Linked DNA regions of Oreochromis niloticus. The protein of the gene in region 2 interacts with the protein of the main gene of each other region in a pairwise test. Links are inferred from orthologs where the notes say so. Each region holds a gene or a part of one and is shown on either strand. Other genes may lie near its edges.

Region 1 (7,657 bases), on a different chromosome or scaffold from region 2:
TTGCAGGGAATAAATTTAAAATGTGCTCTTTTTCAATAACCAAACAAAGGAGACTGTGTGATTCATAAGTGCCGTTGGTGTTAGAGGGGTTGGCATCATGCACAGTCAAAGAGTTTTACCTTCTGATTCATCTGTAGGTTAAAACATGGAAGAGAAGAGAGAGACGAGAGTCTTTACATAAAGCAGTCATCATCAGTGTATAGAAGAAGGGAATGCAAACTGACAGCTTTCCATGTTTAACATGAACTGAACTCATTTACACATGCAAAACAAACATGGGTTTAAAGTCAGTTCAAACCATTTACAGAAGCCTCACAATAAGGAGGAATTCATTTCAATATAGTTAAAAACATCTTTAGATCAGAGTTTAGATCTTCCAGTTATGAATTCAAGTTAAATTACATATTTTTTAAGGATGTGGGGTGTAATACCTTGTTCTTCCTCCTCATCATTGCAGATGACGTTGTAGAGCGTATCCAAAGCATAGCCGAGGATTTCAGAGTCTGATCTATTGTATTTGGGAGACAAACATTAGCATGTTTACTGAGCTGTAATCCACAAGCATTACAAGTATGAGTATTAACGTACCTGTCAGTCTGTAGTATGTTAATCAAGTGATCCATTGCCTGTGTTCCAACTTCCATTCGATATTTCTAGAAAACATTTAAAAAATGCTCATAGGATTGGTAATGCAACCAGAACCTAAAATAAAGGAATTTTAGTCAATATGAAAAGTTAGAAACATTCTGGATTTCTGTGGCATACAGGAAACCTGCACATCTATCTGTGTGGCAGACCAGGACTGACACCCACGTGTGTTAACGTGAAACCCTGTGCTTCTTAAACCCCTTATTCAAGCCTGATAAACTCATTACTCATGGTTGACAGTGCAGCTAATGGCAAAACTGTCCATGAACAGAAGTGACTTGGTGGAGGTCAGAGATGAGTTCATTTTAATCAGTAGAATGTGACAAACAAGAGCTTTATCCAAGGCTACTGACAGCACATTTATCGCAGAGAGACAAAGCAGAAGATATGTGCAGACTGCTTTATGTACATGATGTTAGTGCAGTGATTTCAACTCAAAGTTTCACAGCTCTTCTCTTAAATAATTTCAATAAAACCTTCAAGAAATTACAATTTTTCAAGGCAAGTTAGAATCCATATAACTAGCAACTGACTGCATACAGCTGCAGGCCCTTTTAGTGAGTCTCTACTTGTACTTTACCTTGGAGAGGGACTTAAGAGCACGGACAGCATCTCTCCGATCTTCTAGGAGCGTGGAGGAGGCAACTCGATCGCACAGCTTCTGGATCTGTTAATGGACATATTATTTTTTAATTATTATTGCAATGCTTGCTGATAATTTCTGTAATTTTATGTCTCTGAAATTGAGAGAATTTTTGGAATGTTTTAAAGAGCTGTGGTTTCTAAGCCCCAATGGTTCTGTGGTGGAGTTGTGAGGAGAAGCAAAAAATCCCAAAACAAAATACTGTACATAACTACATTTAGCACACACAGACAGCTGACAAATTAAAGGAAAAAACACTAGTATTTCTGAACCCTTTCAAGTTTTGAAATCTTTTATTTTAATCCAACACCATCTGACAGCTTGTGTCTTAATGTGCACCTTGGTCACTTCAGTAAGATTTACATATCACTTATGAAAAGGCGCAAGTGTGAATGCACGATATCTCCTGTATCTCAAGTTGCTTAGCTCTTATTACTAAGATGATGAGTCAACACATGTTTAATGCAAACTGCCATGAAATCAAAGTCGGCTGTGACAGTGTGACAAAGTGTCTAAGTTGTCTGTCTAAAATGAGATCTGGCTGACTGCAAAGGCCACAGAAAATGACTTGCATCACTCTAATACTCAAACCATTCAGCAATCCTTCATGTCACCCTGGAAGAGACTACTCCCATCATGGGATGAAGGTGACAACTTTGTATTGATTTGCAGAGACAAAGGGGACAAGTCGACCCAGCCAAAAAAAAAAAAAAAAAAAAGGCCCACCAGATGCACTTATTGTAGTGTGGTTTACTGCTTTCATTTTCATACAGGTCCTATTCCAAAAGCAAAAGCAAAACGCGGCTGGAATCGCAGGTCTAAAAAATGCACATTTTCCTGGAAAACTGATAAGTTTTACTGCAGGATGGGACAAGAATATGTCGACAAGTCAACAGTAAATTAATTTAACACCTCCGATCCCAGAAAGAGCAGTAACAAGGTGGAAAAAAAAAAAATTTCACAAGGTTTCTGTTCAAGTGTTTTGTGCATTCTCAGGAGTGACAGCTTCCTCCCTGAGCAGTCACTATACAAAGATCTGATTATATGTGGCTGTCTGCTGCAATGTCAGCAATGTGTCAGGAGATTCCTGCATGGAACACTATGCATGGCTGTCTGGAGTATCTGGCTGAAGTACAGCCAGATATTCAGTTATTTATTTGTGCTTTAAACCAATTGATTAGCAGGCAATCAGTACTAAAGATAATAGTCCGCTGCCGCCCTACGTACACGACAAGGTCCATTTTTATGTTATACACTAGCTCATTTTACGAGATCACCCCAATATGTTCAGTAGATTTGCAGATTAAACTTAATCAAAACAAAACTCTGACGTGTAAACAGCTGACAGTCCTAACGGGCTGGTTCTTGGTGTCCGTGTCTTTCATGGATTTCTCCATTCATTGTGGCTGCACAGCAGGTTACACACACTCCCACTGCTGCCTGACAGATTAGCCACGTTAGCTCATTAGCCCTCTAACTAGCTCGCTGCCAGCCATTCGCCAAGTGAAATGTATCTTCACACATTCTCTTAAGTGTTTGTATGTGACGAAGCAAAAAATAACGGGCTTAAAAACACAACTCTATCCCCCTGTTCTCAGTTTGTACGGCGCACAGCGGAGAAACGTTAGCTAGCCGCTGCTAGCCCAGCTGCTTTCCTACCGTCTCCGCTCCGGACGGCTGCGGCCCGGCTGCCTGCCCACTTATCACTCCTCTGAAGAAGTTCATCTCGGTGCCGTATTCAGAGCCTCTCTTTCTTCACAAAACACCCCTCTGCCGCCTCTCACTGTGCTCAGTATAATAGACACGTAAGAGAGTACACAATGATATATTTTTTACACTGTGTACACTGACCTACCCCGGAACACTAACGTTTGGGCACTGCGCATGCTCGCAAACGTGGCGATACGTGGCTCAGCAGCAGAAGACCCAGCCGGTTATTTAAAGGGCAAGAAAACTAATGATTATGCTCTGTGATAGGCAATGCAGCAATAAAATAAACAATTATCAATTAAATCTATCATTAGAGGGTTAAAGTTTTTAACTCTCACACACTGTTCAAGTAAAATTTAACCTGTTCGACTGGAGTAAAATGTGTCATTTAGTGGCAAAAAACACAAAGAATACAAATATCTCTAAAATTTATACTGTTGTACAGGAGCTACAATCCTTTATACACTGAGTTTGTTCTGAATTAAATTTGATCTGTAACTATCCAGGTGGATTTTAGATCATTGCATTGATTTTAGATCAGTGGGCATCAAATCAAGAGAAATTATTGATTTCTCAACAATTGTAACAATACAACTGTAAACTTGAAACTGTAAACTGTTGTTTCTGTGTATATAGTAGCCATTATGTATGATGCACATAAGGAAAAGAGGTCATACAGAGGTCAGAGGGTGCCTTGACAGATACAAGACGTGTATTATGGCAGCATGGCAGAGTGGTTAGCACTACTTCCTCACAGCGAGTTCCTGCTTCAAATCCTGGCTGGGGTCTGTCTTTATGGAGTTGACATGTTTCACCTTCTCCAAAGTACAACGGTCCAAAAACAAACACATGTTAGGTTAACTGGTGATCAAGGAAGTATTAATACTGAATTAATATATACAATTATAAATGGTAGTTAGGAGGATTTTTTTTTTAATTACACAGAAGTGGGTGTAATAAATACCAACAGTTTCAGTGTTAGTAATATTTCCACTTTCAGTTTATTATACTTGAATGAGCACGAGGTGAAAGCTGTCCATTGTTAAAACCTCTGCCTATAATATACAAAAATATATATACAAAAACTGGCAACCTCTTATGCATTTTTTATGTATTAATTCTTAATTAGTTTACAAGAACCCATAAATTTTTAATTGTGAATACAATATTCTGTTACCTCAAAAACATCACTTACTGTACCTTTAATTGATTATTAGCCTGCAGACAGACATAAGCACACAGCAGCCTTTTTTATTGTGTAAGTGGTAATTCTAATGGTGTAATTCAGGGTTGGATCAGCGCATACAAACAACCCAAACTTCCTAGTCAGCGTGCAGTGATTTAACAAAGTGAAAACTGTTTGGGCGTGTGCACTTTATGACTGATTCATAACTTTGTTACCTACTTTGGAGAATTTTACTATTTCAGATTATAATTGCTGTCATATGTCTAACTCAATCCGAGGGAAATCAAATTGTCACACATAAATGTGCGAACCTCAGGAAAGGCATTCAGGAAAGGACGGTTGGGCACTTGAACCTGTACAGTCTAATGCATTTTATTAACAAATTTTTTTTTGTATGCTTTTAATTTTGAAATATAACTAATAGGTATGGTATAACTGTCAAATACACACCTAAACAATCCTTAAGCAGAGTGACTAAGTTTATATGTGTAGGTACTTACAGAAAACAGCAGGTAAACAGCAAAGTTTACAGAAACACACTCAGAGGAAGCACACACCAAAGTAAAATAAAGTGAAACCAGAAACCAGATCTACTCGATTTTAACCTGCGTGTAACCCCAGAGCTGGATTAACCTGCCAGGGGACTTTGGACCCAAAGAAAAAATGGTGTTTTTCTCATGGAACATTATATAGATCCAGATCTGCTGAGTGGTGTGTGATCTGGATGAGAATAAAGAGGGGGAAAAAATCTACAAGAACGCTGAGATAAGCACAACAACGTTCATTCAATTATCTGTAAACATCTACACATGGATGTCTAGCTGCTTCTGGCTCACCATGAAGAGCCGGAGAGACAACATTCAGAGAATAAGTAAACTTTCATGCCACCAAACATCATTTCCCAACAAACACAACAGCACACTTTTGCCTGTTTAAATAAAGAATTACCTTTTTATTTTCCTACAGCAATGAAAACTGTTTCTGTAACTGTGTCTTCAGTGCCCTTAACCCCCATCTACCATCTGCTCTGATGGCTGGGTTCATTGTTACTGATCGTGTCCTTTATTATGTGTGAATCTTGATTTGCATAAATCTTGTTTCTAAAGCCCTGCGCACAGCTGCTTCCACACAGCACAGACAAGAAAAGCACCACAAACCGATTCAAATGCACCCAGTCATAAAAGTAATTCAGTGTCTTTAATAAACTTATGTTGAAATTAGTGAAGCAATCCAGTACAATAATATAAAAGCAGTAGAGTTTCATCATTGCACATCAGAGCCATGACACAAATGACAAAGCAAAAGCAACATGTGGTCCTCTAGTGTCTTTTAAAAGCTTCACAGAGAGAAGCCTGGACACATTTTCTGTCAGCTATGGGAACGACAACATCTGCATCTTCAGAGGTTTACTAATCTACAAAAAAATGAACTTATATATTTTAAATATGGCTCTATAAATTCTGGAAACATTACAGAATGATGTTCCTTAATGTAAAACTGCAAAGACCTGGAATATCTCATCGTCTAGAGTACACAATGTCATAAAAAGATTTTAAGAATCTGGAGAAATCTCTGTACACAAGGGACACGGCTGAAAATCAGTCAATCGGGATCAAAATAGGGAATCATTGCATGGGCTCAGGAACACTTCCAGACATTAACCGAAGTTAAAAAAAAAAAAAAAAAAAAACCCCAAAACAAAACGAAACATGGATGCCACATTCTCCAGACTCGGTTAAAAATCATACATCTCTAATTGTATGGAGGTGCTTTAGTTCCCATGAGATTAGCAGCACCATCAGTGCTGAAACGTATATACAGGACTTCAACATAACCTCTTATCCAGATGACCTATTTGTCAGGGAAGGCCTTGAGTATTTCAGTAAAATGATACTAAACCTCATACTGCAGCATCTAATACATCTAATATAACAGCATGGTTTTGTCCACAAGTTTCATTGTACAATGACAATAACAGGTTATTTAAAAAAAGTAACTGAAGACATTTCTATACAAACAAGCTTTTAATTAATTTTTTTTAATTGTTTCACATTATTATTTTATGTATCTTTCTGGTTTTATTGTGAAGCACTTTGTGATTTTTATCAGTGAAAAGTGCTATATACATAAATTTTACTCACTTACTATTCTATTCTATTCTATACCAGTAGAGGAGTCTGGGTGGCGAAGAGGCTTGCCAGCAGTCCAGATCTTTCACCAACTGAAAACATTTGGAGCATTCCTTATTCCTTAAAAATTAAATTCCTTAAAAAAAAATAAAGGAGCCTTGTACTGCTCCTCAGTGGAGAGCGTGCTCTCCTACTGCCTGGGTGTTTGGTACGCAGGCTCCACCTCTGACAACAGGAAGGCTGTGAACAAGGTAATTATCAACGCCCAAGAAATCACTGGCTCCTGTCTCAGGAAAACCAGGGTCATTACTTGCACCCTGCCCACCACCAGTTTGACCCACTGCCCTCTGGTCGACCTCCAGGGTCACTAACAGCTTTTTCCGATGGGCCATTCGGACCGCTAACAAACACTGTACCCCTACACCACACCTTACCAATCTGAGCCACGGTCTCATCAGGTCACTCACAAACAGACTCTGCTGAGACCAAGTCTTTTTTTTCTTTGCACTACTCTCAAGCACTTTGCTCTCCACTGTGTGCTTTTCTCTTATTTTGTATATATTCCTCTAGACTGTATATACACATTATTTACATTATTTCATTTCATAGTTACTTTTGTACTTCAGCTGCTCGAAGCACTGCCCCTGTCAGATAGGCCCAAGGTGCTTACAACATTCCTCAGAAATTCTGGTCCATGTTGGCATGACGGCATCAAACAACTGATGCAGAGATGATTTGAAATTTTTCATGACCCATTAACCTGCCGGAAATGGGCATCAGAAGATGGGTACACCGTGGTCATAAAAAGATGGACTCGGGTAGGCTGTGGCATTTAAACAATGCTCAGTTGGTAGTAAGAGGCTCAAAGTGTGCCGAAAAATAACCTGAACACTATTAACCACCACCAGCAGCGTGAACCATTGATACAAGGCAGGATGGATCCATGCTTTATGTTGTTTACGCCAAACCCTGAACCTACCACCTAAATATCAGAGTACAAATCGAAATTAATCAGACTGGGCAATATTTTTTTAACATCTTCTGTTGTCCAATTTTAGTTCCTGTTCTTAGATAACAGGACTGGCACCCAGTCTGGTCTTCTGCTGCTGTAGCCCATCTGCCTCAAGGTTCGACATGTGTTCACAGATGCTTTTCTGCACACATTTGTTTTAATGAGTGGTTATTTGACTAACTGTTGTTCCTATCAGCTCAAAGAAGTCTGACCATTCTACTCTGACGTCTGGTATCAACAAAGTATTTTCACCCAGAGAACTGCTGCTCACTGGATATTTTTCTCTTTATTGGCCCATTGTCTGTAAACCCTGGAGGTGGTTGTAGTTG
Region 2 (8,039 bases):
AATTGGCTTCTCTCAAAATGTTTTATTTTAAACTTTTTGATTCTATTTGTAAAACGTTCATAAATGTCTAATAAAAAACCCAACGCACATCAATTCAAGGCTGAACTGAAAACCTACCTGGGAACTTTGAAAGGTTTGACAAATCTGTAAGCCATCAAGACTCAAAGTCATTTTAATACCTTTAAAGATTTACTTTGAAATATCTGACATGTACCTCTCCTGAATGTTTCATTGTTTGTTTTCCTCTTTATTTGATTTTATTGCTTTACATTGTAAATTTTATCAACTACATAAATACTCAATTTGTATTTTATGTCAATATTGATCATTCTAAAAAATTACTGTTTGTACATCACTTCCTACTCTTACATCGTTTCTATAGCTCTTTCAAAATAAAAGCAAAGCAGAGTTTCTTGGTGTAAAAGGTTTATTTTTGGACAATTCTGACATAAGACATTCTGAATAACCTGATTTTAAAAATGTCACATTTTTAGGTTCTGATTTGTTTTTCTGGGAACAAAACGTCCATCACACATTGTTCAAGAACCATCAGAAAGTTGAAAATCTGCCAATGATTTTTGTAAAGAGTACAACACTGACACTTTTTTCTTTCTTTTTAAAAATGAAATTGAAACTGAATTTTAAATAAAAATCATTCAACCTCAGAGTGCAGACATGTCTGCTGTCAGCAATCTACGATCCGATAATCAGTTTCTGTGCTGCATCTGTCTGGATGTGTTCACTGATCCAGTCAGTATACCATGTGGACACAACTTCTGCAAAAACTGCATCACTCAGCACTGGGACATGAATGTCATGTGTCAGTGTCCCATGTGTAAAGAGACTTTCTACATTAGACCTCAGCTGAGGGTCAACACATTGCTCTTTGAGGTGGTCGCTGAGTTTAGACGTGAAGTTCAGCAGAAAGCCAGCAGTAGCAGCTCAGAGCAACAAGCTGCCAAACCAGGAGAAGTTCCCTGTGACATCTGCACTGGAACCAGACTGAAGGCACTGAAGTCCTGCCTGGTGTGTCAGGAGTCCTACTGTCAGACTCACCTGGAGCCTCATCTGACAAAGAAAGGCCTGAAAAGATATCAGCTGATTGATGCTTTGGAGAACCTGGAGGGCAGGATGTGTAAGAAGCACGATAAACCTCTGGAGCTGTTCTGTAAGACCAACGAGACATGTGTCTGCGTGCTCTGCTCTGTTTCAGACCACAAGAACCACGAGTTTGTTCCTCTGAGAGAAGAATATGAAGGAAAGAAGGCAGAGCTGGAGAAGACAGAGGCTGAAATTTAGCAGATGATCCAGAAGAGACGATTGAAGATTCAGCAGATCAAAGAGTCAGTGAAGATGAGTAAATGTGCTGCAGACAGACAGAAAGCAGAAGGTGTTCAGGTCTTCACTGCTCTGAAGGAGTCTGTTGATAGAGGCCTGAAGGAGCTCATAAAGGAGATCGAAGACAAACAGGAAACTACAGAGAACCAGGCTGAAGGTCTCATCAAAGATCTGGAACAGGAAATCTCTGAGCTGATGAAGAGAAGATCTGAGGTGGAGCAGCTCTCACACTCCGAAGACCACCTCCACCTACTCCAAAGCTTCTTGTCCCTGAAAGCTGCTCCACCCGCCACAGACTGGACAGAGGTCAGCGTCCGTCCACCATCATATGAGGGGACTGTGGTGAGAGCTGTGGCTCAGCTGGAGGAGACACTCAGGAAACTCATGAAGAAGAAGCTGTTTGAGGCTGAGCTGAAGAGGGTCCAGCAGTATGCAGTGGATGTTGTTAAGTTTACATACGCTGCTAAGATGGTGAAGGGTCGCTTTTAGTCTGTCTTTGCATGTGTGAGTTCCTGTTTTATTTTGTAGGTCTGCGTCTCTCGTTAGTGTTTCTGGTTTCGCTTCCCCTTGTCTCGTTATGTCCAGTTACTCCCAGCCGTGTTTTCCTCCTGTTTCCCATTCCCTGATTGCCATGTGTGTATTTAAGCCCTGTGTTTTCTGGTGTGCATTGCTGGTTTGTCTGCGTTATTTAGTGTTTTCTGGTCTGTGTATCGCTTGCCGTCATCCTGTGAATTCTCCCTGCCAGTTGCTTTCACTTGTGTTCAGGTTTTGTTGTTTAAGTTTTAGTTCTCCCAGTATAGAGTATTTCTAGTTCTGTTTCTCGCCGCCCTTTCCTTTGTTTGTTATCTCACCGTCGCAATAAAGCTTGCTCACTTCAGAAGCTACCTGCATCTTAGGTACTTTAATAATTCACACGGCTTGCCCCGCAAACCGTAACACATTCTTCCAATGACATCATTTTGATGTGATGATTATGTTTCCATGTTCTGATGATTTAGTCTAAATAATAAACAGAGAGTTGAGGAAAGGCTGCAATCACAGCATTGTAAGGCGGTGAAGGCTGAGCTGTCATTTAAAAAATGGTTTGCACATGTTCAGGGGATGGATGGAGCTGCCAGCTGGGAGGAGAAGAGGAAGACCTCAGACGAGGTTCATGGATGTAATGAAGGACCCCATGCAGATGGTTGGTGTGATGGATTTTTTTTTTTTTCATAACTCTAACTCTGATTAATATTTATTTGATCAAACCAAACACTTGAAATTCATCAGCAAATATCAAACGTTACACATTCTTTGACTCAGAAACAGTTATTTGCTCCTGCCATGTTTCTACTTTTAGTAAAACTTCTCTCGTGGTAGCTGTTTACGCTGCTGATTTTATTTTGAAAGTCCGCATAGAAAGTTTTGATCCTCTGTCAGAGTGCTGGCAGTATTCTGCCCTCTGGCGGTCAGACCTGAAACTACAGTATTGTCTCAGCCACTGCAGAAGACGTTTATCATCGTTATCAAACCTGCCTCTTTTTTTTAACCTTCAAACCTTTATTTACAACAGCAACATAACAATTTACAATAACAACATGACTGTGACCAAATAAAAACCGGAAATAACAGAGAGAGGAAAAAAAATTAGAAAACCAGCCCAAATCAAACCTTTTTTCTTTCTTTTTTTGCCTGAAGAGAAAACACAAAATTCAGAATTTAAGGGGAAAAGATCCAACATTTCAAACGTAAAATATGTTTAAATGTGACTTTTATTCTAAGAAAAAAGTGTGTGTGGCACCTGACCGCTGCAGTCTTTGTTAGTCTGCATATTAAACACAGACTGGCTCTGAGTGCATGATGATGATTACAGAACAACATGAAAGTCAGGTTCATTCAAAGCTCATTCTTTGAGGAGCTGCACATCTGTCTGCAAATGTGGAGATCACACTGTGATCACAGAGGCACATAAAACCTGTTGTTTATAAACATATCTATTTATTTAAATAGAAATATCATAAAGATGACATCCACCCATCCATTTACCCAGTTCTGGGGTGCTGGGGTGCTGAAGCCTATCCCAGCTCTCACTGGGCGAGAGGTGGGTGCATCCTGGACAGGTCACCAGTATATGGCAGGAATAACACAGACAGTCATTCACACCTACAGCAGATTCCAGATCAGTAGTTCACCTAACGAGCAGGTCTTTGGACTGTGCACGGGGAGAACATACAAACGGAAAGAACCCAGGCAGCCGATGGATTTAAACCCACGACCTTCTTGCTGTGAGGTGATGGTGCTATCACTCAAAAATTACAAATTTAAATAAATGAAAAAATATGAATGTATTCCTTTCTGATTACTTTTGGGCTTACCTGTGTAGATCCACTAACATCCACCAGGGGGGACTGCGGTACCCACAACACACCTTCCAGTTTTATACTCAAACATGTTATCGTATTAGATGACATTGTGCTTCATTGGACTACATGCACTGTGGTGTTTAAGATTATGACTCAACAACAGAAATATTTTAATAATCCAGCGTTTAGGACATTCATTCAAACAGCAACAAAAATACAACAAGGGCTTAGATATAATATGACCAAAGAAATAGGCTAATGAGGTCAAAACTCACCTGAAATTAAACAATCCCAAATACAATCAAGCAAAATATAATTATAAATGTAAATATAAATAATTCAATTCAATTCAATTTTATTTATATAGCGCCAAATCACAACAGTTGCCTCAAGGCGCTAAGGACTGCAATGATCACATCCTCATTCATTCCTTTACTTTCAATGGCACGCCGAAGAATTGCACTGTCGTCACTGGCATTGAAGTCTGGATATGGAGTAACCAAATAATTAGTAATAATATAAAAATCGCAAGTGCAATAAATAAACACAAAATAACTTTAAAAATACAAATAAAATATTCAATTTAATAAATCATAGGTTATAACACTGTTTTCTGATGTGTTACTATATGATAGGATGTTACATTACATTTGTCCATTTAGTCCATCTATCTATAAGCATCTTTAAAAATGTCAGTTCAAAAACTTATAGTACTACTACTACTACTACTACTAATAATAATAATAATAATAATAATAATAATATGACAGTTAAATTAATTTAAAAAGTCAGAAGTTTATAAAAAGAAAGGTTTTCTAACGAGTTTTTTAAATGTCTGTCACTAAACAAACTCTTATTGTATGCCTAACTTATCTTTGTTACATGTTATTATGCATTCATATCTCTATGTATTTGATTCCAATGTGTTGTAGTGCATTACATTGTGTTGTATTGTAACATATTGTCTTACAGCACTGTATTAATGAGATGTATAGTTTATTGATCTATTTGCATTGTTAAATTACATTGTGTTGTATTAAATTGTTTTATGTTGTATTTAACTGTATTAAATTGTATTGTGTTATATTAAATTGCGTTCCATTGTGTTTCATTGTGTTGCATCGTGCTGCTGGAGTCCTGCCAGCGGCCACCAGCGGGGGCGCTGTTGTCACTTTGGTTACCCATAAGCGGGGGAGTGAGAGGTGCATGAAATGGAGAAAAATGGCGGATCATGTGCAGGTAAGTGGAGGTTTCATGTTTTTGTCGCGGATAATTTCTGTAGGCGGGCGCAGCTGAAGCTGAGGCCGGATCCGAGTGCGCCGCTCCCGGCACGGAGCCGGCGTGCAGCCGGTGCTTGCGGGCGGCGGCCGCGGTGGAGCTAGCGGGGAGAAAGAAAGGATGCGGCCGCCTGTGTTGACTTGTGGCCTGCTGTCACAGCACGGGCTGGAGGCTAGCCGCTGTTAGCAGCCAGGGGAGGGATCGGGCTCCGGGGCGAACAAGGGAGTCTGCGGGCTCCGAGTGTCCAGACCGGTGAGCTCCGGCGTCCGTGGCCGTCAGAGGCGGGTAACCGGAGGGCGAGCGGCGGGAAAAGTCGGTGTATTTCAGTGAAGTAAACAATGAAACAGGCGGTTAGCTGTAGACGGATAGCTGCCAGGCTAGCACGCACGGTCACCTGGCGCCACCGGGAACCGCCGTAAACACGTTTATCCCGGCCGGACCGACGGACCGGGCCCGGTACCCGGAGCTTCTGTCCCGGAGTTCCAGGTTTTTGTGTTTTTATTCACAGCTCGCTCCGGTAACGACACCCAGCCATGCAGCAGGCTAGGCTAACGTTAGCATCTCCACACGTCAACTTCTCCCGCCCGAGCGTGTTTGAAAACATGACCTGGTCTGTGTGAGCGTTAGTCGGTGAAACAGGGCGACGGTACCGGGCCGGACCCGCGAGGGGCTCCAGGGTGAGGACAGCGGGGGTTTCACCCTGGTGTGGGCAGCCTAGAGCGGCAGCTAGCCAAGCCGCTGTGCTCCGGCACATGTTTGGGAAGCCGAAGGAGGAGAGGGATGAAGTTCAGCTGCTGTGGGCTTCCTCCATGATGTCCCTGCAGGGAACTCAGTGAGGAGACTGTGGAGACTTTGTGCTGAGGGACAGGTGAAGCCAGCTTTCGTTTTCTCTGCTGGTCACATGAGCTGTGTGTGACATGACATAATATATTGTTAATTGCGCACAGCATGCATGAACTATGAGGAGAAACTCATCCGGTCCTCTCATGTTAGAGGCTGTAACAGGTCGTTATTGTTTCTGCTTTAGAGTAACTTTAATCAGTTTATCTGTGATCAGCTTTAATCCCAGGAAGGGTGGTACGAACTCAGGTGGGTCACAGATTCACTGAATGTGGTCAAAGTGGAACATCTCAGCCTGATTTCATTAATATTTAAATAATTTACCAGGTAACCAAACGTTCCGGTGAGTTTCTGAGGGATTCTGGGTAAACTTGTGACGATGATTTCAGGTTTTTCAGTCTCAGCTCTGGTCAGAGTACTGGGGAGAAAATATTTATTAGTGATAAAAATGATAATATAAATTATTCTAGCAGTTATTTTTATGATTATACAGATTAACTATAAATTCAAAGTCATGAAAACAGCAAACTTTATAAAAACAGTTTTAAGTTAGCAGATTTAACCTCAAATAAAGTTTTTAAAGCTTTTTTTCCCTGGAAATGACACTTACTTCATCACCTACTCCCAGGTTTATGATCCTGTGAGTGCCATAAAGTGTCTGATAATCCAGGTGAAAGTCTTCACTTATGTAATGGTTATACTGGTACCACTGAGCTGGATGTAGCTCATAAATTCATAATTAATAATGTTTGGGTAAAGTAAGAGAAGGGCCTCACGTCGGGCAGTTCTCGTAGCTGGATTAAGTTGAATTTCTGTGATTCTGGCACACAATAAGCCCAGATCCTTGTTTTTAAGTATTTTTAGGTGAAATCTAACAGAAAGCAGACTTTAAGTATTTTTAATGATTTTAAATGACTGAAAACGAACCACTTAAGTTCTTTCTGGTGTTACTGAGACAGTTTTTGGTGGAATAAAGATCAGGCTGATATTTACTGCCCGTTTCCACTGTGTGCTGTTTATTTTACTCAGCCGTTTGTCTCCAGACTGATGATCATGTAGCTGCCTTGTTCTGATGGAGGGTTGTTCACTTTCCTCACTGTAATAAAATAACATTAATGTGTAATTTTTAAAAGATCATCTCATGTTAGAGCCCAAACACCTTCATTCCTGTGATCAAACACTAACTTTAGTCAGTTTATCTGTTATGAGCTGTCATCCAAAGATGATGTGATGTGGCGTGTCGAAGGCCAACGCCATGCGGCCATGAGGTCAGAGTGACCTGCCTGAGTCTAAAAAGTTCACGTTGAAGTCCAACGTTTACGCTGGTGTTCCTCACGCACGTTCCTCAGGCTGGAGTCACTGCACAGCAGGGAAAGAGATTTTCGCTCTTTAGCTCCATAAAACAGTTTCTAATGTTTGTGTAGTGACAGCAGATGATGATGGAGAGGATTTTTCTTCAGACATTTCAGGCCCTGAATCGTCTGTTTTTCACACACCTGTGTGTTTATTTGAATAAAAAGGGGTGGTCTGTATTGACAGCCGTGCTCCTCTGATGTTCAGGACTCCTGCTAATGATGATTAAATGTCCATCTGGTAATCTTTAGATAATAGCTGATCAGCCGTCTGCTCCCTGACGCCTCCCACAGGTTCTCTGTTTATGGAGATAAGCTTCAGACCAAAAATCACCTCCTGAATATTTAATGATTCGGGAGGTTTCACAGGATATCCCTCCATTATGTTTATTATGTTTCTGCACACATGGGCCTTTGTAGCTCGAGCCTGCAGAGCCGTGAGGAGTTTATAGAATATAAAACGCGTTAATAAATAAAAAATCTGCTCTCAGGTTTAGACTGAGCCTATTCCTGTGAGGTTATTATTTATGATCTCTGTTTTCTGATGCTTACCTGGGTCTAAGCAGAGACTCCCCACCTCTCTCTGTGGGACGCATTCTAGTCAGGTGCTGCACCTCCTCAGCTGGAGGAGCAGCGTCTGTGCTACGAGCTCCTCCCAAATGACCAAATCTGCCAGCCTGTCTCTGGTCTCTGAGGGAGCGCCGGGGGTCAGATCTCCTCCATCCTTACACCTGCGATCCTGTCAGGATCACACCCGACCTCTATGGTGCCTCCACGGGACGCTGTGTGTTTCCAGGTGGATTAAATGATAGAAGTAGTTGCATATTTGTACAAAACCGAGACAACTAACAGGCTGATTAATGTTCAGTTTAAATACAGGTTATTTAAA

The links.
Region 1: the proteins of xpo7 (region 2) and uso1 interact in binary tests that used the Homo sapiens proteins (3 or more experiments, as listed by UniProt). The two-hybrid records come from large-scale screens. The link is inferred for Oreochromis niloticus from reciprocal best matches to the Homo sapiens genes XPO7 and USO1.

What each region holds. Positions count from the first base shown.
Region 1 is NC_031971.2:17,313,602-17,321,258, reverse strand, and holds the start of uso1 (general vesicular transport factor p115), read right to left. Parts: upstream 3,205-7,657; 5' UTR 3,017-3,204; coding exon 2,951-3,016; intron 1,316-2,950; coding exon 1,229-1,315; intron 654-1,228; coding exon 589-653; intron 509-588; coding exon 432-508; intron 132-431; coding exon 120-131; intron 1-119. UniProt on the Homo sapiens protein: General vesicular transport factor required for intercisternal transport in the Golgi stack; it is required for transcytotic fusion and/or subsequent binding of the vesicles to the target membrane.
Region 2 is NC_031972.2:37,386,500-37,394,538, reverse strand, and holds the start of xpo7 (exportin-7), read left to right. Parts: upstream 1-4,796; 5' UTR 4,797-4,886; coding exon 4,887-4,919; intron 4,920-5,833; exon of another isoform or gene 5,834-7,932; intron 7,933-8,039.